Linked DNA regions of Lepisosteus oculatus. The protein of the gene in region 1 interacts with the protein of each later gene in a biochemical or structural test. Links are inferred from orthologs where the notes say so. Each region holds a gene or a part of one and is shown in the gene's direction. Other genes may lie near its edges.

Region 1 (15,647 bases):
CTAAATAAGAATAGAGTATGACTCTGCAGAGCTTGCTTACACTGCAGTTCTAACAAAACCACCAATGGATCAGCAAGTGCTACTTCTGAAAGTGGAGAGGACAGTGAAGACCTCTCATATTGTGCCTGTGAACTTCACTGCCCAAACTACAGATATTCAGGAATTTGTTCCTAATTTTAACTGCCGGAGGTGAGCAACAGTCACCAACAGATCCTTATCACACACAACTAAACTGGAAAATCCAGAGTAGCAAGTAATTGAATTGAAGGATATATAAAGACAAAATACCATTCAAATTGGAAAGCTTACCGGAAGGTGAAGGATCCTTAACTTGGCAACCCATTTAAATTCACAGCTCCATCACAACGAGATTTGTGCCTGGAGAGAGCACACAGAATACTGTATATGTAGGTAATCGTTCTAAGTAAGCCCCAGGTCATTTAAGTTTTTTATTCTACAGATGGCTCTTTTTGAAGGAGCTCTTAGATCCCTCGCTCAACAGATGGATCTATTCTGTATATTTATACAAATTAGTCAAGCTAAATTAAAAGGAAGCTGTCCCTTTCCCTCTCCTTGTAGGTTTTCGCAAAACACCAAAATATATAAATCATATGAAGCATGGATATAGCAGATTTTACCCATAAACGCATCTATGAAACCTTTCCCCCAGAATTCCTTCACACCCTTACAACCCTGCAAATATATTTAAGCACACCTATGTAACCCAGTTTGTTCCAGAAATCTGGAAGAAGTTATACAGTATACTTGTTTCCCTGACAGTAATGGTGCTTAAAGTTATTACGCATCTACTGTACATAAACTCAGAATTTCCCAGAGATGACACACAACAATGTAGTGGATGGTCCTTCCCACCAAAACCTCCCCACTTGGTACAGATTTATTTTTAATTTACTTTAATGTTTAATAAAGTGGTCTGTTGAGCATCAGTATAGTACACTTGAATTAGAGGTTGGAAGATTATAATTTTTCACATGGTGCTGCCAAAACATTACACAAGGACAAATTTCAATTCATATATAATGTTCCTTTATTGTAAACCCAGTACATTATAAATGGAAGAGACAGTGAACTGGTCATTAAAAGACTAAAAAAGCACTGGCACTTTATAGCAGTTTTAAATATGCCATGTGTTCGAAAATGTCCTGGTTAAAGAGGGGCAGAGCTCTTATTTTTGCTGATTAAACAAAATCAGTCACTTTGATGTTTTGGGCTACAGTTACTTGTCTCTCTACTGGATGTGGTAAGGGTTTCTTTTTAAAATCAGTGATTTCTTAAGTTTGAAGATGAAGTAAATTCAAATGCATTGGTAATTAAATAAAATCAGCCCAATCTAGTTTTAACACATAACTTCTATTTTGGCTTGTTATTGTTTTGTGTTTCCAGATCAAAAAACAAAACAGCCCTAGGCATCTGTACCAAAGTCATCACAGTCTGCTTAAAGAGATCATCCAAACAGCAACAAATCAGCCTCATCTTGGGGTTTAATACATAATGCATGATTGGTTCATTCAATATTCTGTTTTTCATTGTCATGTAAATACATTGCATTACATTAAACTGTAAACTTCTAAAGAAGCCAATTACCATTTAATAGTAAATAACAACAGTAGATAGCAAGTGTTTAACATTCAACTCTAAGTGTACAATTTAAGAAGTTTGGATTAATTGGGAAACAAGAGATTTTTTTAAGATGTTAATCACAAGCAGGTGACTCTTTCAATGTCAGTTAATAGATAGATAGATACTTTATTGATCCCGTGAGGGAAATTGCAGTGCAACAGCAGCTTAACACACACAACACAGCCACAGTGTAACGAATTATATACTAATAGTACAATACATACAATACAATACAAGAGTTACTCACAGTCCGGACACACAAGAGGAAACTAGAACAGAACAGTACACAGAAAATCGTATCACACGTATGAATATAAATATAGATGTAACCATAGATATAAATATAAATATAAATGTATTGCACAGGTCCCTGGCATATATTGCACAAAAGTGGTTGTAAACGGGAAAAAGAAAAAGAAAAAGAAAGAGAACAGATGTAGCAGTATATGTGTATATGCGTTTAGTCCAGAAACAGGTCACTGTCGCTGTTGCCTCTGCCAAGACGCAAGGTGGATGCGTTGTACAGTCTTATGGCAGACAGCAAGAATGACCTCCTGTAGCGCTCCCTGTCGCACCGTGGATGAATCAGTCTATTGCTGAACGTGCTCTTCATTCCTGCAAGCCTGTCATAGAGGGGATGGGAGAAGTTGTCCATGATGGCCTCCAGTTTGGACATCATTCTCCTCTCAGCCACTACCTCCAAGGGGTCCAGGTCAGACCCAATGACAGAGCTCGCTCTCCTGATGAGCTTGTTCAGCCTTTTGGAATCTACTGCTCTAATCCCAAAGCCCCAGCACACCACTGCGTAGAAAATGGCACTCGCTACCACCGACTGATAAAACATGTGTAGCATCTTACTACACACATTGAAGGACCTGAGCCTCCTCAAGAAGTAAAGTCGGCTCTGTCCGTTCTTATAGATGGCCTCGATGTTCTTAGACCATTCCAGTCTATCGTCGATGTGCACTCCCAGGTACTTGTACGAGTCCACCATCTCCACGCCACTCCCATGGATGTAGACAGGAGTAGGTTTGACCTTTTTCCTCCTGAAATCTACCACCAGTTCCTTTGTCTTTGTAACATTCAGTTCCAAGTGGTTCACCCCACACCACTCCACAAAGCTGCTGACCAGTCCTCTGTACTCCTCCTCCTGCTCACCCTTGATACATCCCACAATTGCAGAGTCATCTGAGAACTTTTGCAGGTGGCATGACTTTGAGTTGTACTTAAAGTCCGAAGTATAGAGGGTGAAGAGGAATGGAGAAAGAACTGTCCCTTGAGGTGCCCCTGTGTTACTCACTACCAGTTCAGACACGCAGTTCTGAAGTCTCACAGACTGTGGTCTGCCCGTCAGGTAGTCAGTGATCCACGAGGTCATGGAGGCATCGACTTGCATCTCCTCCAGCTTCCTCCTTAGAAGTAAGGGCTGGATGGTATTGAAGGCACTGGAGAAGTCGAAAAACATGATCCTTACAGTGTTGCCAGCCCTGTCCAGGTGTGAGTAGGCCCTTTGCAGCATGTAGATGATCGCATCCTCCACACCAACACTGGGCTGGTAGGCAAACTGTAGGGTGTCCAGTGATGAGCTGACCATGGGTCTCAGGTGGGATAAGACCAGCCTCTCCAGTGTCTTCATGATATGAGAAGTCAGTGCAACTGGTCTGTAGTCGTTGAGGACAGAGGGGCGCCCTTTCTTTGGTACCGGGACCAGGCATGATGTCTTCCAGAGCACCGGGACTCTCTCCAAGCGCAGGCTCAGGTTGAACAGTCGCTGGAGCACTCCGCTCAGCTGATCAGCACAGGCCCTCAGAACTCTGGGACAGATGTTATCTGGTCCTGTGGCCGTGCAGCCTCTTCAGCTCCTTCTTCACCTGGTCAGCTGTGATGGTCAGCCTGGCCCGGGGGATGATGCTCATAGTGCTTTCAGTGCCGGAGGTGTTAATGGCGGAGGTGTTGGAGAGTGGCAGCTGTGGGGGATGGGTGGGTGAGCAGCCGTCGGGGGTTGTAGCTGTAGGCGGCCATGTTTGTGGGGGGATGGAGGAGGTGTTGGGCATAATCACACTAATAACTGAATAACAAGCCAAGCAAGATCATTTTTGGGGGGAAAAACAAAGCAGCGAGCACGAAAGCACACCCAGAGTAGCCACACACTCCAAACCATAAAATTACATGCACAAATAAGAGATATGGCTATATAAAGTGAAGAAAAACTTAGCTAAAGATTAAATAGATTACTGCAATATTAAGCTGGTCCACAGCTCAGAAAACAAGGAATGGACCCTATGCAGGTTTCAATATCACAAAAAGCTAAAAACAGTCAAGGAGGGAAATCCAAGGCCAGGGTCAAGAGGCAAGCGAAAGTCCGAACCCAGAAGACAAATTAAGTATCAAGCAAGGGAAACACAATCCAAAAGCCAAGGTCGGGAAACAGGCCAAAATTCAAAAAGTCAGGCAAGGAGTCCAGGAAGAATTTAAGAAAGTCTCAACCAAGAGCTCAGAGTTGAAAACAATATTCAACACAGCCTGTACAAAGTACAGTTTAAATAGGTTTGGGGAGGGGAGGCGTGGTGAGGTAGGGACACTTGGCAAGCAGGGATTGGCTACTGCCATCTGCATGCTCTGCGCCTCTGCTGTACAGATGAAGTAGGCACTAGAGGTTGGGGTGGCCCTCTGGTGGCCAGTTGCTGGAACTGCAACATGCAGTGTTTGCTTTATTTAAAAAAACTGCATACTACTACGACAATCGCCTACAGATTTCTGGTAGAAAAAAAGCAGTGCAAAATTTAGATTCCCATATTGCCTTTATCACAAACTAAATGGAAAGTTTGCTTTTCGAAATTACTGTTTACATACTCTGATTAAGAAAACATTCTAAATGTAATTTTCAAGGTTTGTTGTTTGTCTTGTCAACTTGTCACACTGTTTAGTAAGTTTAGTTTATTTCTCAGCTGAAAGTGAAAGTTTAATATAGCTAGATTAGTCCTTGCGCAAGCATGGAAACAGTATCACGCAAAACCAAATGTAATCTTTTAGGGTTTAAAGTTCTCTGTATATTGTTTTCTCTTAGATGTTTTTAAGTGATAAAATGCCTTTCAAAAACTAAATTCTTACATTCCAAAACACACAGTACCTCATGTTAAGAATATACAATACATACAGTATTTTCTCCATTCATTGGAAGTTTCATTTCACACCTCTCTGCACCCATTCTGACTTCACACCTCTTGATTGGCCTCTCTTTCTGTCCCCTGCTCCCGCCTCTCACTCCTCCTCCCTCCCAACCTTTGTTCTCCCGCTACTTTACCTTTGCCTACTGCCCTGTCTCTCTCACACCTGAAGAAGGCTCCACAGCCGCTCTTTCTTCTTTTTTTCAGTATGGAATAAACCTATTACTTTTTCCTTTGCAGCCTACACATGCTGACGCAGCTACCCACCTGAACTACTAATACATACAGTATTACCACCTAAGGAGTGCATCTTTAGATGATTTTTCCTCCTGATGCATCTTTACATATTGATATGAAATTTACTGTTCTGTAGATATGAAATTACAACCATATGCAGTCACCCGACAAATACCCACACACATTTAGTAGTGTGCATGATCTCAGCACACCTTTAAAAAAGCTATGCATATACTAGAAGAACTTTACATTTTATGACGAGCCTTTCTAAATGTACATAAATGAAACTAGCTATACATCATGATAAATTTGCTAGTCACAATTACACCTGTGAAAAATGTATTAAAGCTGACTACAAAACAGTTACCATCTGTTCGCTAAGCATTGCAGTTGTAGCATACCTGTCAACCAATCTGCAAGAAATTGATTTAAAATCAATTTTTGTATACAAGGTTCACACAGGCAGATTCTTTTAAGGTATTCTAATACATTTCCACATTGTTGTATATATAAAATTAGAATAAGATTTTGTGATCTCTACTATTTAATTATGCATGACATTCCATCTATGTTTTATCTTCACCTATTTATTCCAAAAATATTTAAGAACTTCTAAATCTGTTGCAGTGTTAGTGAGTGCCCACACTGGAGATCTTTTGTCTCAGTGTCTGAAAGTACTTTGTAAAAAATGAACTTGTTTATTGTTTTTTTACACTGAATTGGCTTTGAGTGACTGTCTTTCCTGTCAGCCTGTTTCAGAAGGCCTGAATAAAAGTTAACCGATTGTGTGGGCCAATTATGTTGGATAATCTCTACGCTGGAGAGCTTCTTTAGAGGAAGTTTCCAATTAGGAACCAGATACACTTGGCATCAGTTCCCCAGATGTGCAATAGAATAAAAGTATTTTTGATCTACCTAGCCAAGATTCTGGAACAGCTGCCTTAGTCCGTGATAGCTTGTCACTTATTTACAGATAGTGCCACGTAATTGTGAAATTCATTTTCATGTGGCATTACGAAGTCTAATATCTGCACACACTGTAAGGCTTGAATGAATGTGCACAACCCGAGCTGAAAATTCCCCTTTCAGTTAATTCAAATGTATTTTTGCAACATTACAATATTTGCAGTTACACTGCATCCTTTATATAGAAATACTATGCAGCTTAAAGCTTTAGAAGCATTTTCAGAATTTTGTAATATTTGCAATTGTTTTGTAATTAATCTACAAGTCTATTTAACATTTTTCCACTGCAAGTTATCAAAGCAAATACCTAGGTTTATTGCAGGAAATTTGATGAGATCCTCAATTATTTGTTAATATAACCAAACAAAACCAGAGCTAGAATATCCCTCTCCCATTTGTATATTTTCTTACTGTATGTTCAGGGAAACTACACATAAGACTTAAAAGTTCATAATACAACACCGCACTGGGGATCATTTCAGTACAGTATAAAGTATAAAGATGCTTTCAGGATAATTAGCAGAATTAGGTTGGAAGAAAATAACTGAAGAAATATTATTGAACACATTAATTGATGTTGTATGACATTTTCACATCTGGATTAATAAAGTTTTGCTGCTCCCTTTTTTGCAGCTGACGATGGACAAGGCTATAGTTTCAACAATCAATCACCAAAAACTTTCTGAATGGTCTTCAAGTGAGTAAATGCTTAACTGTAATACAATACTGATTCTGCATTTGTTTCTTTCTGGAGATTTGAAATTTCTGTGATTTTAATTGTTAGATGTTAATTGTCTTTAGATTCTTAAGATATTAAAGTTTTGTGAAGTGGCTATTGAAATATCCACATTACTATTGGAGCTTTTGGAAATCAGCTGCATATAATGCAAGCAAAAAAAACATTTTACACACACTCAGAGTAAAATTCCATCAAATCTGTTTTGTGAGTGAAACCCTTATAGTACAGTACATCCAGGTGGTCAAATCCAGCATCACTGAGTAATAGTGATAAGCCTGTGTTGCAAGAAAAGGCAGTAGGGAGCTCATGCTTTAACTTCTGGGTAGGAGAGAGATTAACCATTAAGTGTTTGAGGGACTGCTAAGTGTGTACTGTAGATCCTAGAGATGAGGAGTTACCCAGAGGTAACAGCACGATGCATTTAATTTACTTCAATAAATTTGAACATTTTGTTTTATTGGCTGAGTCAGAGCTGTATTCATCACTACCTTGAACAGCAGACTTTTGATCTCTGTTTACCCTCCATCGATACAGAAGTGTTGGAAGAGACCGGTTTTGAGTAAGACAAGGAGACGCAAGGCAATGACACTATGACACATGCAATCCTTTCACTGAGCACCAATCTAGAAAATGTTTCCAAAACAGTGCATTCTTTTGGGGTAGATAAGCAATATGTACAAATGTTTCCACTGTTAGATAAGATTTCTACATCTTTTCTGAAGAATTCATTGTTCAATCTTTTGAAATTCTGTTTTATAAAGAAATTGGAAAAATATAAATGACAGATTTGTATTTAGCTGAATAACTAAACTCCATTTTGGAGAAAAATCATCACTGTCTGCTTTATCCAATAATTGCTTATTTTTTTAAAATTATTCATCCAGTTTTGTTGTGTGAGAACAGAGGTTTTATTAAGTCTCTACCACTTCTTACTTTCCTTTTTGTAATCTATTTAAGTTTAATATTATGCTAAAGAAGTTAAGGGAAATATATAGTATTTAGTAGTCACCTTTTCCACATTATATGGATTGAAAACTCAAATTGAACAAATTTCAAAACTTGCTGTTTTTGGAAATTGATTTTTTAAAACTGACTAAAACAACCCATATTGTTAATGTTGCATCCCTAAAAACATAAGCATCTAACAATTTAGCTATTTATTTTTTGCATAATTGTAAACCATGTGAACTACACACGTGATCCATAAAATTACAGTGCAGTTAACTTTCAGGATTCAAAAAATAATCTTCAGAATTTACAACTGGAGCTCTTAGTAAAACAAACTTGAAGAAAATCACATTTAAAGAATAAATGGAGTTTAAAATTAAATCATAATTTAGATGAGTTACTCTATTAGACCCCCTCCCCATACAAAAAAGGCTTCAGCTTCAGCTTTCTTCTCCTTTGTCAACTTGAATTTTTATTGGCTGACAAAGAAGCAGTGGGAGGAGGCAGACCAGACAGTGCAATGTAGACTATTATAAAACAGCTAGATGTAGCTTTAGCTTGCCAAAGGATGGTACGCTTACTGTGTGCTTCATTGACAGTGGAGGATTAGCACATTACAACGACCACTTCAAATGTTACTTTGCTTGCTACCTTTTTTCCCCCCTCTGTGAAACCAGCTGAGGAATTAAACGTGTAGAGAAGGCTGAAGCTGTGAATTAACAAATGTCATGAAAATATGAAGCTGCTTCCAAGAGCTAAAAGTTGGCAAGTGGGAGGTTTTCACCGTGATCCAGTAAGTACACTCGTGTTTTACCCTTTGAAATGCTGCCAAATATATGTTTCTGGATACAGTAAGACTGCTGAGTTGCTCAATGTGCAAGATGCAATTTCTAAGAAAACTCAGTTGTGCACAGGGTATGTAAGGAATGCTATCCTCATCACAGATTTAAGGGAATACATAATGAAAATGTTCTGAGTAACACTGGGCTCACTATCCACAAGATGAACACTACACACCACCACGGACTGATACACAACTATCATTCTAGGAACTTCAGCTCAGGTGCATTTACTGTCAACAATGACTCAAATGAAAAGGACTCCTCTTCAGGATGTTATGAGCAGCTTTTGATCTCCACAGAGGTGTTTTTAACCCTTGGAATTGTAAGCCTTTTGGAGAACATTCTGGTTATTGCAGCAATCATAAAGAACAAGAACCTCCACTCCCCAATGTACTTCTTCATCTGCAGCCTGGCGGTGGCTGACATGCTGGTGAGCGTCTCCAATGCATGGGAAACCATTGTGATGGCCCTTATCACCAGCGGACACTTGACCATCCAGGACAATTTGATCAAAAACATGGACAACGTGTTTGACTCTATGATTTGCAGCTCTCTCCTGGCCTCCATCTGTAGTTTGCTGGCGATTGCGATTGATCGATACATCACAATCTTCTATGCCCTGCGTTACCACAACATCATGACAATGAGGAGAGCCATGATGATCATCACAACAATCTGGGCATTCTGCACCATCTCTGGAATTCTCTTCATCATTTATTCTGAAAGCACTACTGTCATCATTTGCCTTATTACCATGTTTTTTACCATGCTTGCACTCATGGCCTCGCTTTATGTGCACATGTTCATGTTGGCGCGGTTGCACATGAAGAGAATTGCTGCCCTGCCAGGCAATGGCACAATCCACCAGGGTGCAAACATGAAAGGAGCAATTACATTGACCATCTTGCTTGGTGTTTTTGTTGTTTGTTGGGCACCATTCTTTCTCCATCTGATCCTCATGATCGCCTGTCCCCGCAACCCCTATTGTGTCTGTTTCATGTCTCATTTCAACATGTACCTCATCCTGATAATGTGCAACTCGGTGATTGACCCACTCATATATGCATTCCGCAGTCAGGAGATGCGGAAGACATTCAAGGAGATCTTCTGCTGGTATGGCTTGCCTGGGTTTTGCGTTTGTGAACTGCCCAGCAAATACTAAAGACCTAAAAAAGCACAACTAATCATTCCTCAGAAACTCTTGGTAACTCAGTAAATGGTAATGCTAACCCATTAAAAATAATGCACAATTGTAACCATGACTTCATATGAATGACAATACAACTTTTAGAGAAATCCATGGTTTCTTTTAAGAAAAGCTTAAAAAAAGTACAGATTTAAAAATCAAGTACAAAAGTACTGCTTTTTGCTTTTTGCAAACTGCTTTCTGCTGATAATCACTTGTTTTCTCATGAGGTTGTAGAAAATATATTTCCTTTGCTCTTGGCAAACAAAACTCTCAGAAAGAAACAGACAAGCAATGCCTTTTTAATGTACCTGATTTCTTGCATGACGCATTTAAACAGTAGGGTTTGAGCAGCAGACTGGGCAAATAAATACCTAATCATGTTGTAACATTCTACAAATATTTGTTTTTTCTCTGCTGTGGAGAGAACATTTGTAGAGACGGTCATAAAATCTGCTTTTGACTGAATATAAAGTTTATCCATTAAGTCCTAAAATTAAACAGCCTGGTTAACTAAGTACTACAACAGCATATGCCTTTTTAATATATCGTTACATTATTTAATCTATGTGACTGTACATATCCAGTATATGTATGTCATGTCATTTGCCAAACCGCTTTATACCATACAGTGTCATGGGATATATGTACATACATTAAGACATCATTTTAAATGTGCAATATTGAATTTTATGAAAAACAGCTTTAATTGGTGTGTATATTTAGTGTTATTTATAAAGTTTTTAATTGTGCTTCAGTATGTTTTTTCCCTCCAATCATTGTCCTGTTTTAGTGCAGTGCTGTCTGCTGTGAAATCATAATGTGTTTAAGCCCTTCCCCCCAAGATGAAGTAAAAATTGAGAACTATAGAAATAGACAGATACCATAGATTTTATGCATTAATTTGTTTTATTTGGTTTAACATCTTAATATGTTTTTTTCCTGAAAAATATAGTACTTTTTGCCAAAGCCATTTACCAACTCTACATCGAAACAAATGCTGGGTTGTTTCAGATTGCAGTTATTTAAATTATTTTTTGGTAATTCCATATGCACCCATTATTCTGATTATCCACCATTTCATTAACATATTGTACTGATGAATGAATCAGCACTGTACATTGTAATACTTAGACACATTTCTTAGATCAATATAAAATTGCAGAACGTTTGCAGACAAAATGCAGATCAAGGTTTAAATCTATTTCATTATGAAAACTAACATTAAAAATGCAAAACATTTTAAAGTTGGTATCAGGTTTGACCTTTTAACATTAACACTATTCTGATTGAACTGACATTCAGTACATCTGATTATTTTTTTTTAACAGTCTGTTGTGGGGTGTTTAACCACTTTCTATGCAACAGCAGCCATCTGTCCAAAAATGCTCCCCACAAACTCTTGAATGAAATTCCCTAACTAAAAATACTGAAAAGAAAAACATTCTCACATCAAAAGCATATATTTTATGCTGATCATCAGTAAGTACCTTGTGAAAAAGTGCTTAATTCTCTGCTGTGGCTTTGCCATAACTTTAGAATGCACATTTTGTTTTGACAAAATGTTGAATGTCAAGGTTTCCTTTACTCTTGGACAACCTGTCGCCTGTGATGCTTGAATCGGCACACACTGTGAATCAGGACAGAAATATGTTGAGGAATTCAGGGGACATTACATTGAATGGAGACCAAACTGTGAAAGAAGTGCTCTATGTCTCTTATTATGTTTACAAAAGAGCCATACTGTATCAAGTGCAGGGACACATTAAAATGGGGGCGGTATTTTGTTTGAACTGAATGGAAAAAATCAAAGTGTGTCTTACTCTAGGTTATCAACTTATGAGTGTAGCGAATGACTGTCATTAATGTTACAAAGAGTAAAACTGACTAGTCCCTATTCAAATGTGTTCGCAGCTTTTGACTAAAGTAAATAGATCCTTTATGAAAAGTGATATGAAGACTAAAGTGTATTCATGCAAACTAATAAAACTGTCTCAATTTTATGCAGCCTCATTATTTAAACAAGTGTAAACACACACTTTACTATATAAAAAATTCACAGGACCGAAAAACCATAAGTATACATAAAATACAATAAATGATTAGTACTTAATACATTACAACCTATTCTATAAGTGAATTTTACTTTATATTATGTATTGATTGCAATTCTTTCAGAATTGCACATTTAGAAAACATTTGCACTGCAATTCAGTAAGGGTAGTTCTAATCTTTCACAAATAAAGTCAAGGGTAAAAAAAAAAAACTTTAGCCACTCACTTTTACCATTTATTCTTTGCCTGTAGGTTGCAGCTAAGTCTAGACACCCTGTGCAGCATTTGTGAAGTCAGAGAAATTGGCTCCTTAGCATGTTCAAGTACCCAAAATTGGACCAGAGTTAGGCCGTGTCCCAATATGTACATAACTGGTCTTGCACCCTTCATTTGAGCGTTCTCGTTCAAGTCCGCAAGGGATCAGGGTGCCCCATTTCTAGATCTGTTTCCCAGGGGTGCTCAGCAGCGTCCCCAGTGCGTCCTGAAGGGAACTACCCCGAATTCCCTGCAGAATGGCAACAATTCATGTTCTAGCCTAGGAAAGCGTAGAGACGTTTCCATGGAAAATAAAATATTCACGTGTTAGTAAAATTGAACTCTTTACAGTTTTTAGAAGCGTACTATTTTATGAAAAAAATAGAATATTTTATATTTGTTCTGTGTGTATTCTAGGACAACATTTTGACAAAAGCTTTAATTACATCACCCAACTTCGAATGATGAATATTCGTTTACCTCCAGTGTATTTGGTACACTGAGTATTTAACAGTACACATACAGTATTTAAAAGTACAAAGCTTTGAGCTTGCTTTGAATGAACGGGTTCCTCATCATTTTTGTTCCTGTCATTTTTGTATTGGAACAGACGAGATTAAACACATTTAGCAATACAAAGCTTTGAATAAAGAGAGCAATATTTGTAAGGTTTCCTTAGTATACTTCGCCTGTTTTGAGTCGAGCCTTAACAACATGAGCACAACGTGTCACTACTTCTGTGCAGGAATAGATGAGATGACATCACTTGTACCCAACTGCGAGAGAATGAAATTTAAGAAGTGTATCCGCTGCACTCAGCCTTTGGGAATGAAGCATCAACAACAGGCAGCATTTTGACCTTGACCCGATTAACGAGTGATAAGTCACAAAAGGGTGCCTTATTGCTCTTAATAATGGTGCCCCTTCGAACTCTCACTAACTTGAAGTCCACACTGGCACAACGTCATTGAAGTGCGGACTTGGAGGAAGGGTTTAGGACACAGTGCAAAATTGGGACACTGCCTTACTGTACATGAACAGGGATGTTATGAACAAAATCACAACTACTGTAAATTTATGTTGATGTACATCTATATATTCCTTCTTTGTAGCTACTCAGGAGAACTACACATACCAATCTTCAGTACTTTACCAAGCATTAAACAGCTAAATGAAAAAAAAACATCTGAAGTGACCCTGTCCTGCCTCTTTCAGTTGGAACTTTAGTAAACCATATTATCAATTGGGAAAACTGGCTTTGCGATGCGGCTAGTAAGCGCAGGCAATTTGCTAATTTATTGCATTGTTTATTTTCCAACCTTTTTATAAATTGATATACAAATGTTTCATTCTTAATGCAAAGATAGATGTGTATGTTTTTTTTTTATAAAACAATAGTCCTTTTTAAATAAACCTGGACAAAATGGGGTTAGGTTTCAGACCTTCAAATCTCTGAACTGCGCACTTAGAACTAAATAACCTGTCAGGTTTTACTGCTTTCTGAAATTAAAGCTAAACTAAAAAGGTTTCCATGCTTCAGACAACTCACTGTAACAAAACTGAGTGTAAGGTAAACCTGGTTATTGACAAAAACTCTCCTGCTGCAGCAAAATGAGTCTTTCAGCATCCTGCAGCAAAGAAAGACAAGTTTCTGCAAAGTATTTTCTGTGAAAAATTTCAGAAACAATTGGTATTAAAAAATTTCAAGTGTTTACATACCATTTCGCAAAAGGGATGGGAAAACATCTTAAATGTATACCTTTCTCATTAAGCATGGGGTTTCAGATAAAATCATACAGTACTGCACAGCAAAGAAAGAACATATATATATATACACACATTTATATGGGAGAAAGGGTCTCATTCTCATAAGATGTCTGTATGCAGAAAAAGAGCACTGAGTCACAAGTTACAGGTTCTTCTAATAGTATTTTCTTATGTCTTTGGATAGGATACTTGCAAAAATGTATTGCTGTAGAAGAAAATGTATGTAATTTTCTTGTTTTGAGCATTATCAGTAAAAAAACATTTTGAACTATTTATAAATGTGACATTTGGGTGAAAATAATACAATGCCTTGGATGGAGGCCGTCAATAAATATACTAGTTGTGAGAAGTCCAAGTGTATCACTTGATTTTTTAAGAATTTTACTTTGAGCTTATACTATCTACACTTTACCAGCTGGTCCCTGTCTAGCTTGTGGCTGAACTGTCATTTATGTTCCAGATGTGTTAAATCCTTTTCCATATATATATATATTTATTTCTCTGCAGTTGAAACAGCTTGCGTGTACTTTGATCTTTTCAGTAGTTATTTTTCTGAGACATTTATTCCAAACGGTAATGCAACAAGGAAAAATAATGAGAATACAACAGGAAACATTAAAAACATATGTTTCAAAATAAAAATGAATATGACAATTAATCATTTTAACAATGGTCCTATCAGTGGGAATAATTAGTATGTAATATTGGAAATAGCAATAAGTTAAAGTAATCATACTTCCAATATTCACAGTTGCCCATAAGAGAGATTCATTTAAAATATTTTTCACACTGCCCTTTCAAATCAATACACCTCCCGTTAAGAAATAAAATTATCTTTACTATATATAGGGACCAGAAATCCAAGTCCAATTACATTTAACTAATTTTGAATAACACAAGAGTGCACTGTGGAGTTGAAATAATATTGGCAATTTCAACAAACAAAAGTTTCCTTCCAGCCCAGCTGTGTTGCACTTGAATTTAAAAATACTCAGTGTAACCAAGCAAGATTGTAAGATGTTTGTAAGTCAAGAGCTTGGATACCACAGAGTATAATTAAGGACCATTCCATTGCCTGAGCTAATGTCACCCTCTAGATTTCAACATCCCAGGCTCTTGTCTTTTGCACAAGTAATTATGTAGAAGAAGCGTTTATCTGTACACTGCTCGGCCTTTTCAACAGATAGCTTGAAGAGCTGTTCACACTAGACATAGAATGGAATGTCATCTCGAAGCCACAGTACAAAATGAGCTTGCACCTACATTTTTAAGCAAGGTTCCATGGACAGAAGGTTGCCTGTCAATGACAAATATGGTGGTGCAGCGCTGTACTGTTCTACATGGAATTCAAGTCCAGCCAATGTCAAAATTCTCTTTTCAGGAAAGGATATTAGTTTAGCCACTAGTATAACCATTTCTATTTACGTTTGGTGCAAGGAATTTCACTTCCCATTTAAATCAAGCTTATAGCAGTCATCCAAGGATTATGCATTACTTTACTTGGGTGTACTAGACAATAGATATATTTCTCACCAAATATGATTGCGCTCACACATTTAATGTCCCAGTATTTGGAACTATTAGTCCTGGTTTCTGTTATTTTTCAAAGGTTTATATATATAGTATTTTACATTAAAATGATTCATCATATTGCTTTTCAAATTATCTTTTAAGCATTACTTTATCATTACATATTTATAATACTGAACACATTCCTCAATCATTTAATCATTTTTATAATTTACATCACTCACATAAGTGCCATTTTCTGATTAATTGATTAACTAGTGTATCTTATTGTATTAACAGAAGAAAAAATACAAATCTGGACACATGCATTGATGT
Region 2 (15,810 bases), on another chromosome or scaffold:
CAACATCTTTACAGTCAAACATAGTGGTGGTAGCATCATCAGAGATGAAGGAAAAATGACCACGGCAAAGTACAGGTAAATGTGGAAAATGTGTTAAGGAAAAGACTTAAAACTAAAGTGAAATTTCACATTTCAGCTGGACAATAATCCAAAGTACAAGGCCAAAGCTAAAGTATAGTGGCTTCAAAGAACAAAGAAAGTGAATGTTCTTGAACGGCCCTGTGAAAGTCCTGACATCAATCTTATTGAGAGTCTTTGGAAAGACTTGAAAACAGCCGTCTATAAGTGATAAACAAGCAACATGACAGAGCTTGAGAAAATCTGCCAAGAATTGCACCAAGTCAGTCATTACAAGTTTCGAGGTCCTTTTCATTGTCCTGTGTGCAAATTTGGTAGAGTCTGCAGATATACAGTAATTGGTGCCAAAGGTATTTTCACCAAATATTGATCTTAATATGTAGCAATCAACACATGTTAGCTTGTTAGTTTAGTTTTTGTTCTTTAAAACCAAATGCAGGCAGATAAACAACAAACAGGTAAGCGGTTATGTGAGCTAACAACACACTGTTTACAGCAAGCAAAAGAGACAGGTTGATGAACACAGGCAAGTGTGGAACAGGCAAACATAGCACAGGGTAAAATCCAAAAACAAGTGAGGTTCAAGCAGGAAAACATGGAAGCACAGCACAAGGGGAAATCCAGCATACTCTATGACAAAATCTGGACAATTGCCAGATTACACTTTATGTAATCTTGAACCACCTGAAGTGGGTGTGGTGGAAAATTGCCTCCAGGTGGTACAAGACTCCTGTACATTAATTACTCTGTAGTGGTCCACCTGTCATTCAGCACAAGTTACTTTTACAGTGCCCAGCATGACAAAAATACTGTATATGGTGCCAATTCCACATTGGTTCGGTTTCATCTGTCCTTTTATTCCGAAAAGATCAGGTCTATACCAGTATATTCCTTGTTACAGACATCTTTGAATTTCTGTGAAAGAATGCAAACAGGAATGTGGGTATTGTCATGGTCAGGTGAAGAAAAGTGTGGGGATTGTTGGTTTGGAGAGATCTTTAATCCTCAACTCTCTGGCATGCTTGTAGATACAGTCAGTCTGTTTCTGAAGATTTCACTTCAGCAGTCAGTTTCACCAAGGTAAATGGTAGGGCACTTTCACCATATGAGCAATCTTCTATCAAATGTGAAAACAGTGTCCTGGCAGCTTGCTGGAAGTATTTTGCTCATTCTTTAACACAAACGTACATCAACAAACTTTAGTTTCATCTTTACAACAGTGATCTTGGAGCTATCAACATATTAGTAGGTTCCAAAATGAGTAACTGAGATGACCTAATGATAGTTGTAATCATTAATTACAATTAATTGTACAGTATTTTGCAGAAATGTTTTATATACATCACAGAATGATGATGGAATATGGATTTACAATCAGTAGGAATAGTATCACTAGGTAATGTACTGTATGTGACATTATTAAGAAATTAATTGATCCCTCTACAGTAAAATCTTTTCTGTCAGCATCTTAAGATAAACAAAACTATACTCCTAACAACCATGTCCAACACCAACAAAGGGAAATCAATGAAATATTCAGTGGAAATCTCTTCTGAATTATTTTGTGCATTTTGAAGATGTGGTTTTTGTTTGGCCATCTTTGTTCTTGTATCTTTTGCAATAATTTAAAAATTTCACTCTTTCCACAGAATTTGCAGAATTCATCCACACAGGGTCATCCACACAGGAGTTAGCCTAGCCGAGTTGATTAATAATAGCCCACACTATACCTAATACCTAATAAACCCAGGCCTTACCATATTTTTGTGGTAAATTATCATTATTCAAATGCAAATATTAATTGTTAATTTTTAAACCTTAATTTACAAATGATTTGTAAATGTTTAATCACATATTCAAATTATATAAATCAGTATATACTGTAGGTATTTATTCTACTGTACATTAATTGTCAGATTATGATTTTTAAAAATGACAGTTGTCCATTAGAAGCAAGACATGTATTTCATAAAGCATACTGTATGTTGAAAACGCTAATTTTATACATAAAATATGAAATTAGGTTTAAGGTAATTATGCTATTTGTGTCAAAGCATCTCATGTACCATTTTAATTATAACCATAATGTCCTATTTACTGTATACCTGCATCTTTCAATACATAAAAACAATACAAATTGCAAAAAAAGTTTCAATTTCTCAATTTTTTAAATCTGTGACTTCAACTAAACTGGAGTTCTTGAAGTTTAGATATTTTTATTTTAGAAGAGAAAAAAAAATGCAGAAAAGTTTCTGTTCTTTTTCTAAATTCCAAATGCTCTCCCTTAACTCCCTTAACTGTCTCAATGCACCAATTTGGCTCAATAATTCCAAAAGAAATGTGCAAACTTCCAAGAATTCCAAAAAACTAAATATTTTGTGCCCATGGTCCTTTTATCTTATTATTTGTCACTGTAAGGTATTTAAAAAAAGGATTTACTACAACAACACTAACAATATTCAGCTAATCCAATTTGGCATATTATTGTAACATGAGTGAAGTCTATATTCTAAAGGCGGTCAAGTAGGTAGCTGTGTCAGTATGCGTGAGCTGCAAAGGAACAAGTAAAGGTTTGTTCCAGGAGTCAACATCTGAAGAAGGCTCATTTCATTTCAGCATGGAATAAACCTTTACTTATTCTAAAGGCACATACTATATATCCTCTGCACACAACATGATAACAAGTGGTTTTTAGAGACCAACATTTTTACAATGTCTGTAAATGTTTAAATAAAATAATACAGTTTGTTTTTACATTGATGTGCTGCTTACCTGATCCACTCATAACTTATTAACTTATTTTCTCTAAGATCTATTTTGTATAGCTGATATTCTGTATTGATAAAGTATACAGGCTTTAACAATGATCTGAGATTATATATTTTAAAATAATCCAATAATGCAAATGTATTTCGTATTATTTATTAGTGTTTTTCCTCCATGCACAAAAAAATACAGTTGTATAATTCCTACAGCCTGAGCAGAGTCTCAGTCTACAAATTTAGTATTTCGAGGAGGGGATTTACCAAGAAGGAAGATGAGACCATTTTCAACAATGTGGATTGTTTAACTGTGGAAAAAGTAAACCCTTGATTAATAAACAAAATTGAGTGCTCTATTAATTAAGTATTTGTAACCATTAACTTTTCTTCTGTAGGAAAGTCACTGCTCGCCCGTGTGTACACACCTGCCAGCACTCATACTTACAGTAAGTTCTTCCCCCAGAAGCCCAGAACCTGCTGCTCACAGACCACCTCATGTTTTTGGTGTTTCAGCTGACTTTTGGTTGGATTTTCTTCCGTGAAAGGTTTTTTTTTAGGCCTAGAGACTTTACATACTGATACGCCTTCCCTAAGGCACATTTGGCATATTATTGAATGGCAACATCTCCAGAACCAGACACCCAGCCTTCACTTGTATGCTGAGGTTCTCTGATTTCTTTCTGCGTGCGGTTGGCTCTTTCTTGTATTTAATAACCCCTGTAAGGAATATAACTTTCTTTCACATACTGTTCTGTTGATACCAGGTTTGTTGTGAGATATGAATTACTCTCAATGGGAGCTATTTGGGATTTGTCTGCTTTTCAGCTCCTGTCCTGTGGAGTTCACTCTTTCTACGTGCCTGTCTTTCACTCAGCAGGAAATACACTTCTTGCAATCCCTGTTGCTTCACTCAACAGACTTTTTTTCCTGTTCCCTCAGCACAACTCAATGCTGCTGATTTTGTACAATGAATCTGGCTCTCCTACACCTCTGTCAGTGCTGGTCCAAGGCATGGCTGCTCTTTCTTTTCAGGTAGTGCTTCCCTCCTTCAGCTTGTCTTCTCTTTTAGTATTTCCTAGACCATATTAAGACTTAAAGCAGCCTGACTTTCTTTCTTTTGAGTGGTTATGTACCTGTAGTCAGTTCCAAATAAGTCTTCTCCAATTAGCTTGAAACTTTCAAACATTTTCAAACTTTCAAGAAATGCCATTGTTACTACATGAGCCTCCTGACTGAATTACCTATGTTGACAAATTCCTCTATACAGAGTTTTATTAAGCCTGGGAAACTGTATATCCTGGCCCACTTTCTCTAAGCCTCCTGTAGCACAGATATTTTGTCATGTAGGGTCTAGAACCAAATATCCAATCTTCCGTGACACGCTGGGCTTCTCCAGTTTGTCTCTGTCTGGGGTTGGATTTCTCTTATAATTAAAAACCCCAGTCCAAAGTAATAGATTTATCATCTCCTCTTGGGGAAGAGAGCTCTTTCTGTAACCCCTGATCTATTTGGAAGTTTGTGGGGTGGAAAAGAATCCACCTCTCAATCTCTCCTGCCTTCCCGACTTCTCAGTCAGGTTTGTGCTCTTTTATCGGCTACTCATCTCCATGCCTGTTCCTTAAATTCCATTCTGTGCTCTTAGCATACTCTGCATGAAGGTTTGGTAACTTCTTCCTCTCTGTCAGTGCTGCCTTCTCTGTTAGCACTTACAAGACTGTGTCTGAAAAAACTAGGAGCCTTCCCTTGTCAAAGGCTCCAGGTAAACACCTTTCCATTATCGTGAGATCTCCAACTAATGTACATTCTTGCATGAAATCCCAAGTTGCTACCTGAGCCTCCTGCTTCCAGGATGGTATTGTCACCACCGGTCTTTCTGACAGGCCACCCTACCTCCTAATGTCCTAATGGTATTTTTATTCATGCCTTACATTCATAACACTAAAATGGAATGTACTCTACTAAGAAAACACAAAGGTGATTGACTGATAAATACCAATTGCTTTGTTCCATTCTTTGATTATTATAATATCAAAAACACAATTATTGTAACCCGCAACACATTCCAGAAATGACTTTACTTTCTACCAAAAACATATGCTTACTTCCTCAGCCATAGTCCAAAGTTTCCATTAATTTGTCTATGAATTTCTCACCACCATTGCACTTCCCCAACAAACCAGTAATCAGAGGTTTGTCAGACACTTCAGAAAACAGGTACTGTCATATTGTTTATATGCAATTATAAGAAACAAATGAGACCCCAAAAAACATGATTAACTGCATCTTTAAACATGTATTGTTCTAGTTATAACTGTGTTTAAAAAAATTGTCCAGCATGCCAAAATCCTACTAGCCATGGCTAGAGGTATCCATTCATCACAGAAATTGGACACGGTGAGTAAGACATTTCTTAAAATGCTGAATGAAGGTTGCCAGTGCCCATGGAACAGTAAGGTTATAGAAATAACCCGGACAGAAGTTTGTGACAGAAAACAGCTGGACATTTTTAATAAAAGAGAAAGTTGTAAACTAAGTTCCAAAACCATGATGCGGTTATTTTTTCATTTGGACCAGACAGGAATGGCAGATAAAAGATTTTGTTAAAGATCAATAAAATAAATCATAGAGAACAGAGTGCAAAATGAACCTTCGGACAAGTAGGTTTGGGCTCACATATTACGTTAATTTGTTATCTCCCAACAAGCATTGTTCCAGCTCAAAAAAAACACCACACGGTTTTAACGCCACTTGTCACCCCAGGAGAGACTGGCCAGGGAATTGAGTTGTTCTAATGACTAATGCTACAAGACGTCAGTCATTTTTTAAACCAAATAATCAATTTTCAGAGAGAAAAAAAACCTGCTCTGCCCTTTACAGGCTTTATACATCAGTGCATCATTTCAATTATCCCATGTAACTTAAAACCATGTTTAATTAAAGTGTGCATCTAGCACCTCTGCCATGAAACCAGCAACAAAAGAGTACCTTAGTGATGAAGTTGCTAGATTGAAAATGCATAGATTTCACTATTAAACCTAGTAAATTCACACATATGCTATTTAATTAGTATGTGAAACTAATATCAAGGATATCTATCCTTGAGAAGTAGAACTCACTTGACAATCCTTTTCTCTATTAGCAGTGACGTTAAATGTGTTCCGGAAATATAGAGGCTTTTTTCGGCCACAGATTTCACATTTGTGAACTTTACATTAGCACCTCCCCTCTTAAGAGAGACACAAAAGGAACCCTCCTCGTAAACTATTGCCCATGAAAGGTTGCTGTGCAAGGGTTGAGTATAAAAGGAACTGCTTAGGAGATCAGACTTAGAGACAGAGCAAGAAGCAGTCAGAAGAACACAAAACCTGCTTTGAAGATAACAAGAATACCTGCAGAGAAGGACTGAAGACCTGTTGAGTGCTGACAGACTGAAGCGAAACACTGAGAGGCAGGTAAGCAATGCTGTATTCTTCAATTATATTCATTTTTTTATTTCTATCAAATGGCTTGTCAATTTTGTAATACTAAAATTTAACAAACAATACAATGTTATTTTTGATCAATAGGATATTTAGGTCTGATTTAGGGTGATTTATTAAACTAATTTGTAGTTTTCTGGTAGATTTACAGATTTCAGATTGGAAAAGTATGGATCACATTTTCACTTTTACAAGCACTTCACTTTTGACATTATTTCAAATCGAAATATCTGTAGAATAATAACACATTTTTCTACAGATTGTCACACCAGGACACCTTTCAATTTTGTTGGATTTAACAACATTTTTACCCTCAGATCCCATGCAATTTCTACTTGTGCATGCTTAATATTGGGGTAATTATTAACTAGAACTCCAAAGATTATTAGCATTTTTATCCTCTGTGATTAATTCATTACTGTGTGATTTTTATATATAAATCAGAGACAAAACACTTTTATCACATTGGCTTTGCGGGCCAAAAAGTTAAAAAAAAAAGCTACAGCATGTAACAATTTACAAATAATAAAACATTAAATGTGTTTCTTTTTTGTTTGATGAACGGCACATTTGTTGGGTTGCTTAGTTGCTTCAGAATTCAGAATTAAATTCATAATAGTCACTTCATCAACTAGGAAATTAGATGAAATTACAGAAATGGTACACACATGATTTTACAGTATATAGAAATATTAGCTGCTGAAAATTAATTAATCAGTATTTGTCATAATTCAGCCAACTGATTCATAGTTTTGATAGCAGATTTTTTTTTTTAATGATCCACCTTCTATACACTTCAGGTGGAATAGTTTAACTGTATTTTAAGCAAGACTAGTTGTGTTTTGTAACATATATATTTTTACATTAAATGGTATTTCCAAAACAAATACCTCAAAGTCTGTCTTCCTCTATGAGAAAAACTCTCACCATGTATTTTACATTGCAAGCCTCTCCTTTGCGAAAAATGACATCATTAAAGGGCCTGAGACTCTCTTAAATTATAAAACCAAGCTACCTTACTTAATTTGTGATATTTGTACTTTTATTTTTGCCTTTCAGTACTCCAATCAGGTACAGTATGCACAATGTCCCCTGTGCTGCACAGCAATTTGTGATTCAAGGCAGGCTAAGTTCTCAATTTGTTAAACAAGCACAACAAAGTGGCAAACAAAAGAAAGTCCCATGATTGTGGAATAATAACTGACTGGCTGAGAAGCTATTTCCTAAACCTAAAAAAATCAATTCTGTGTTTGAAACCAAAATAAATGATTACATACTTTTTTTAGAGCCTGACATCTTTTTTAAAGGTTAAACATCTGGGAAAATCAATCATCTGTCAGATTTAGGCAATACCTGAAGAAACATCAGATTTCTACTGTAATGTACATGAGCTTTCAAGATTATTAGAGCAACGTGACTCACCTTAAATACAGTATAGGTATATATTTTAAGAAATTACAACAGTTTCAACAGAGAGTACAAGATATTGTATGTGTGTTCACTACAAAACTAAGCAGGCAAGGAGAACATATAAAACCTAAGCAGTAATATTTTAGAGTGGTTAGATGCAGTTTGCAGGTAGCTGGTGCTTTCAATCAGTGATACAGCATTTAAATGGTAATGCATAACTCAGCAAAGGCAAATATCAGCTTGTATATCATAGTTATCTATTTACTCTGAGCAACAGCAACTGTTCCTGCTCAGACACAAGGATAGCTGCTCTTAAAAAGTGTTCTTTAAAGAACATTAAATAAGCAACAGTGGTAAATTTGTCAGGATTTTATTAACCTATAGTTTTAATTTATAAGGTATAGTGGAAAATGAACAGTGTGAAATTTTATTAGACATTATTTACAAATTGTATCATGGAGAACTGTGCAAACCCTATGGCAATTGTGGGTAAATATTCAAAATTGTATACAAGATGAAAACATATAAACAGTACTGTATGTCACCCAGACTATGCAAATATACAAAATACCATTGTAGTTTTAACTATAGTTGTATAAACAGTTGTTTTAACTGAACTAATACAGGTAAGTGACCTATACAACTTTAAGGCACACATAATTATCTGTCTGGCAAATTCCTCTGTAGAAATAAGCCACAGTTTTGATGTCTAATAGTTTTAAAATATTTTTAATTTACACATACATTATTTTTTACATCTTTTTTTCAGTTTATTAGTTTGCATAGGGTGGAACAGTGCACAGTAATGAGCATTACTGCCTCGTAATTTTTTGGGCTGGGTTCAATCCCGGAGTTTGTATGTTTACCCCATTGTTCACGTGGGTTTTCCTTGGATGCTCAGTTTTCCTCCCACAGTCCAAAAACAGACTGGTAGATTATTTGGCTTCAGGGAAAATTGGAGGTAGGTGTGAGTGTCTGTGTGTCTGTCCTGTGATGGACTGGCACCCCCAGGAAAAGAGATGGAAAAAGGTTAAAAAAATTGATAGTTTGTGTAGGTATGGGTAAGAGGAAGTGCTTTACGTGAGAAATATGAATCACTTGTGAGACAGTGCTTGAGATCAGGGTCCCTATGTTAGCAGCTCTGCTGCCATAAGGACTCCTTATTTCTAAAACAGCATAAATAGTGTTTCAGAAGGGGAAACAGAAATACAGCAAAGCAAACAAATAAATGGGGAGGCACAGGAAGCTATTATTTTAAGAGTGATCCATACATATCCCAAAAGAATTTAAGAAATACTGTATGTATGTGATTTTTCCAGGCCATTCCTTCAGTTTGAAGATGCTGCGTTCAGTCTGGGTGTACTCTCTGGCCTTGCTGTACTTCTACAGCAGTCAGGTCGAGAGCCAGTGTTGGGAACACTCTCAATGCAGAGACCTCAGCTCGGAGGAAAACATCTTGGTGAGCAGAACTTTCTTTTAATGTAAATGCAACACTCGGTACCATGTAGACTCACAAAAGTGTTGATAATAGGTATTTCATAAATGTGTTGTAATTAAGAATTGTGAATTGTGAGTCCAGCATACCTGGTTGTGACAACATATTGGTGCCCATTGAAGACAACTTGTGTTAGACTCTACTGATACTTTTTTGTTCTAATTTAAAATATAGTATAATGACTTGAAATTTGTAATATTTACTGCTGCCTCTGTGACAATGTTAAAAGGCATTTCAGTTTGCTAAGAGCTGCTGTTAAAAAAAAATACCATCACAGCGAACTAAAACAAAAATAAACATCATGCCTTAAATTATTTTATAAATAATAAATACTGTTGCATTACATTAATCAATTTTAAAATACAAAAACAGCCTCTCTGCCATCCATTATTAATAATTATTACAGTAAATGCTCCGCTTTAACAGACTCCGAATTTAACAGACAAAATCTAGTTTAGGGTTTTTTTTTCCAAACAAGGTTATCTGTGGTGTTGAATTACGATCTACAGCCAATACACTGGCTGAACACATGAAACTGAATTTCAAATGCAGTGAATGAGGGCTTTGACGATTTGTCAACTTCCCTCTAGATTGAATAAAAGAACCCACAGATATGCTTTGACCGCTCCACTTAAAGGATAGAACCGTTCCATCCGAAATTCAATAAATTAATCCAAGACGAAGGGATCGTATTCTCCCAGCTATGCAATGCCGACGAGACTGGTCTCTTCTGGCGTTCACTCCTGGACGATGCCCAGGCACACAAGCATGCGACGTCTACACAGAACGCATAGTCAGCAAGGAAAGGATCTCAACATTACTGTGTGCAAATGCTGGCAGCTTACACAGGTTGATATCCATAGCTGTCGGCATGTAAAGGAGGCCGAGGATATACTGAATGAGCTTCTGGTAGTCTACCACCATTCCAAAACAAATTGGATTACTTCAGACTTAATTTTTTTTCACATCTACGACTGTGTTTTGTATGCTTGAAATATTTCATTGATAACTTAATCTATATCCGGCAATACCAGACACCCCTTTCCCCCTATTAGTCTGATAAAAAGTGGGTCTATTGTATGGCCTTAATTTGACATACGGAATATGGGCAGGTTCTGTATCTGAGAATTTACAAAAATCTTTACAATGATGTTCTTGCTTTCCAGGAGTGTATACAAGCCTGCAAATCGGACCTCACCGCAGAATCTCCCATTTTTCCTGGGAATGGGCACCTCCAGCCTCCTTCAGAGGCTGACCGCAACTACGCGAAGAGTCACTTCCGCTCGACTGCCTTGGGGCGGCGCACCAACGGCTCTGTGGGAAGCAGCAAGCAAGCCGGAGAGAACGCGGCTCTGAGCATCCTCTTTGCCGCCCTGGCTCCACCCCAGGCCGAGGAAGAGATGGAGGAGAGTGAGAGCTCGCAGCAGCAGAGGCGCGAGGACAAGCGCTCCTATTCCATGGAGCACTTCCGCTGGGGGAAGCCGGTGGGCCGCAAGCGCCGGCCTGTGAAGGTGTACCCCAACGGGGTGGAAGAGGAATCGGCCGAGGCCTATCCCACAGAGATGCGGCGCGACCTCATGAGCGACCTTGACTACCCCCTCCTCGAAGAAGTGGAGGAGGAGCTCGGAGGAGAGAACGAGGTCCTCAACCTGCAGGAGAAGAAAGATGGCTCCTACAAAATGCACCACTTCCGCTGGAGCGGCCCGCCCAAGGACAAGCGGTACGGGGGCTTCATGAAGTCCTGGGACGAGCGCAGCCAGAAGCCACTCCTGACGCTCTTTAAGAACGTCATCATTAAGGACGGCCATCAGAAAAAAGGCCAGTAAGGAGTGTGGAGAAGCAATAAAATAGCCCCAAACCTCGCTTTACTTCCTCCTTGATCTTGGCAAAGCAAAATTTTAGGTAGTTGGCATTCTGGTAAAGAAAGAGGCTCAGTCCTGAAAGGTAGCTCCGTTGTATGTTTGTTTTCTCTGCTGCCAAAGCCCTTGTTTACAATGTAGTCGCCCATAAATTCTGAAAACTGTAAATAGAAAATAAATGCTTTTGCGAGTTAGAGCTGGGAAAAGGGAGGGGAGGGAGAGAAATTCAACTTTAAATTAATAGTGGAAAGTTATTTTTCATATTTATTGAGATGTACTATAATGTAAATTAAACAAAATACTTTTTGCAAGCTAAAAAGAGTTCTCCTTTTCTTTCTTTGGTGTTTACGGTCTGTGAAAGTACTTAGCCATAGGTTTCTTCAAAAATGTACTGAATAATTAGAAAAGCTATACTTCCCATACTTTAAAAACTATCAACAATAAACTAATAGAGATAACCAGAGAAGGAAATGAGAAAGAGAACGATGGCACAACATATTCTCAGCTCTAAAGAATTAATCATCACCATGATTCATGGAATTTGTTTTACACTATTTAATGAAGCAGCATAGACTAAGGTCATGCTGACTCAAAAAGAACAAGGTTTTAGGAAAGATGTGATGAACAGCTAACCTAAAGAAATAAACCTGCTGACAGAGATGGACAGATAGTCAGTGAAGGCAAACTACAAGATTCAGTCAACGTTTCTATATCAGTTCCTGTATCTTCTAGTAATATGACAACCTTTCTCCCAGTGCAAAAAAAAAGTTTTAGTTTCCTAAACACAAATAATTTTTCAAAAGTATATACATGTATGCCTGTAAAATGTAATATACTGATACTAAATATGTACAGTTAACAATTATTCCAGAAGCTAGGCTCAAACTAAACAGCTATGGGTCAAAAACTAAACAACCCTCCTACAGTACCTAAATTAGTTTAGGCACACAAAATTGACAAAACACAGTAAAATGGTCTCTATATACAATAATGGTTCTTCACATGATTTCAAAATAAAAAACATATCTCTATGAGGTAAAAATACATCACACTTCTATAAGGTACAAAAACTCAGGGAGTTTGTAACAGAGCATTTATGTGATACTTAAAAGATCTGACAAAACGTTTTGTAGTCACATGAAACAGAAGTGGCACGTTTTGGTTTAAATGCAAGGTGTTATGTCTGGTGCAAATGCACCACAGCACATCACCCAGTCAATAGCACTCTTACGCCAAGCAGGGTGGTGAAAATATGATGTTATAGGACTGAATCTCATTAGCAGAGACTGGGAAGATTGTCAAGATTGAGTGGAAAATTGAAGGATCAAAGTAAAAGCAAATATTAAAATAAATTCTGGTTCAGGCTGCAGAATAAAGATCCAAAGCACAACTGCAAACTGCAAAAATACATTGGACTGGTTTTAAGCATGAAAAAGTAAATGTCCTTGAGTGGGGCCATTGGATTCAGTCACAATTCTGACTTGAGTCCAATAGGAAATTATGTTAAGACTTGAAAATTGCTGCCCATCAATGACTCTCAACCAATTCAAGATGTGAAAAAATAATCAAAATTAAAAATATTCTCTTCAGACAAATGTGTACAGGTATATACAATTATAATTCAACAAAATAAGAAATCATTGAAAGGGAGTGAATCCTTTTGCAAGGCACTTTAGCTACAACTAATAACACAATATGTAATTTAAATACGTTATTGGGAAAAATTCAGTAAAATCTTTTGGTGGGTTGTAGTAGTATACTGTACAGAGGAAAACGTGAGAGAAAAAAATGACACCAAAGGTTTGTACTTCTTTTATTTGTTTTGTGTGCAAGGTAATCAAACATGCTATCTTCAGGTATGAAAAGCTACAGTATTGTCCCCCCACCCAAAGTAAACTCATCGCAATTAAGGGGATAACTAGGGTCCGCTAGTCATCTTTGGGTCAGCCTTGGTCAACAATTAGGCTTAATTTAGGCCAGCCCTGTCCAATATAAATCTGTCTAACTTTGGCTTTTGCCATCAGAATGAAATCTGCTCTGGATCGGAGAATTCTACAGCAGAATGTCAATTGTCAATCTGTCCGTGAACTGAAGCAGAAGCGCCGCTGGCTCATGCAGCAAGTTCGAAACACACAAGCAAGCCTACATTTGAATGGTTGAAGAACAAGAAACTTAAGAGTTTTGGAACAGCAAGATCTAAACCTCTTTGAGATGTCGAAGCAGGACCTAAAAAGAGCAGTTCATTCTTGAAAACCCACAAATGTCACCGAGCTGAACTTCTGCATGGAGGAGTGGGACAAAATTGTGTCCCAATGGGTTGCAAAATTTTAAAACAAAATTAAGTATGAAAGATTAATAATGTTGTGTTATTGTCACGCCCTCTGCAGCCAGAGGGTGCTCCTTCTCTGTCCTGTCCCTAGTTTCCGCTCTGCTGTCCTTCCTGTCCCTCTCTTTCCCTTGGGCTATATATTTCCGGGTCTTGCACTCTGTCCTCGCTCAGCATTGACGTTCGGATGTCCTGAGACCCGCCTAGCACCAGGGCGCCCCACATCCGCTCCCTGAGGGCATAGGTTTCTATACGGCATTCCTGAACTCTTTGCACTATGAGCCCGGGCCTTTTTCCCGTCTCGCCGCTACGCATATGGGTCTTTTTCCGCTCTCCTGCTCCCCACAGTTAGTCCCTTTGGACGTCCGTGACAGTTATTTGTTCACTCAGGGTCCCTTTTATCTAATATAAGGTTTTGTTTGAAGATCTATTATCATTCACTGTGGAAAATATGCAGTAAAACAGAAAATCAGACAAGGAGCAAATACTTTTTCATGGCACTATATACAGTACAGTAGTGTCAACACATGAAAATTACACACTGAACTGAGCTGTAACTGAGAACTTGCTATAGGAAATAAATACTGTATGTGTCTGACCAAAAACCAGTCTCCACAAAAAAAACCATTTTAATTCATGGATCATTTTTATTCTTTACAGCATGTGTATTTAACAGGTTCACATTTTCTAAAGACGTTTCTTACAGTTATGGTCCATCTGGCACAGGAGATCAAACAGCAATCACACGTAAGAAGTAGAAAGTGTGTTGGCTGATGTTCAGCCTGTAAACTGCAGCGCAGCCGAACAATGGTTTAGGTACAGGCAAGTTGACAGAGCACAGGAAAGGTCTATAACACAATCACCTGCTTTCCACAATTATTTTTTTCATTATAATAAGGAAGAGGGGATCACATGAGATACGAGAACACCAAAGGGCAGGGCATTTACACTTAATTGTTTAAAAAATATTTGTCGTTTAATTATACCTTTTCGTTCCCAAGAATTCAGAATTTGTATTCAGTTGGGATCTATGCAACAACCTCCCCATTCATTAACCCATGAATCCACTAGCCTCGATTAAGACTACACATAGTGTCCTCTTTTTCCACTACAATCCCACAGCACAGCCTGTCGGTATGTGGCCGGTGGGATACAAACATACTGTATGGAGGTTTCCAACTACAGGATTGTTTTTAGAAAAAAGATTCAAACTTAAAATTCCATTAAGCATTGAAGACATATATAACACACATTAAAGTGGATGGTTAAAAATCATTAACGTGTCCCATCTTCATATAACACCAATACAATACACATCATGTTCATTCACAATGAACAGAAATTCCATCGATCAGCGGGAGACAGTAATTATCTGCAAAACATACCTGTTGTCGCACACTGGGCATTTGCTTATTTCTTATCAAAAGGCAACACTCCACCACCATTAATAGACAAACACAGTACAAGTGTCTCACAAAGAACAGTAACCACCAAGGAACTGAACAAGCAATACACAGAGACACAGCATTGCCATGAAACACTGAACACAAGAGGGGTCAATAATTCCACATTGGAGAGCTGCAGCACAAGACAACAACTTACTCAATAATATCTACTTGGAATGACGTAATGACAAAAGAAGGAAACATAAAAACATAGTGTATCTTTGTAATAAAAATATGTTATGTTTTTTTTAAATATATAGAATGACAGTTAGTTTTGCATCTCTTACATTTATTGCAACAAAGCCAATAAATATGACCTCAGAAAAATAATACGAAGTAAAACCAAAATCCAGTTCTGTTACTATATATTTTCATCACGGTAGCATTACCTAAATGTATCAAGATCATACTGTTATCTTACTGTCTATGTTGGTTATACTCCTCTAAATACAGAACTAACAACATCTCTATGCCCAAGCAAATTACATAGTCAAAAGAAGCACTGAACTGCAATGGATGTTTTTCAGTGAAGAATGGCAAAATCTTATTGTGTATCATCTCTCAACTATAAAAAACATATAAACAGAAATGTATCAAAAAAGTGTTTCTCTTCATCTGTTGACACAATGATGCCACTGAGGAATTCTACATTAACTTTAGCACTGAAGAGTTATACAGTATGTGATTGGTAAGTGTGTGACTATTGTACCTTGACCTTGAAGTCAATGTTGTTTCCCTGGAACTGTATTTCTGTTATTTTCAGATATATTTCAAACACATTACACCTTGTTCCTAGGACACATTTCCTATAGTGTTTTCTCACTTCTTCTTCAACTTTAGATTTTTATTTTTAAATTTAAACTGAGACAACACGTTTAAGAAATGTAAGAACAGGTAAGAAATGAGAAGAGACTTTTCGGCTCATTTAAATCATTTGGTATTTAGAAGCTAAATAA

Evidence for each region.
Region 2: the proteins of mc4r (region 1) and pomca form a complex in vitro, tested with the Homo sapiens proteins (2 studies listed by BioGRID). The link is inferred for Lepisosteus oculatus from reciprocal best matches to the Homo sapiens genes MC4R and POMC.

What each region holds. Positions count from the first base shown.
Region 1 is NC_090701.1:6,389,647-6,405,293, forward strand, and holds mc4r (melanocortin receptor 4), read left to right. Parts: upstream 1-8,484; 5' UTR 8,485-8,700; coding exon 8,701-9,702; 3' UTR 9,703-11,746; downstream 11,747-15,647.
Region 2 is NC_090697.1:22,199,561-22,215,370, forward strand, and holds pomca (proopiomelanocortin a), read left to right. Parts: upstream 1-9,026; 5' UTR 9,027-9,029; coding exon 9,030-9,188; intron 9,189-10,390; coding exon 10,391-11,050; 3' UTR 11,051-11,402; downstream 11,403-15,810.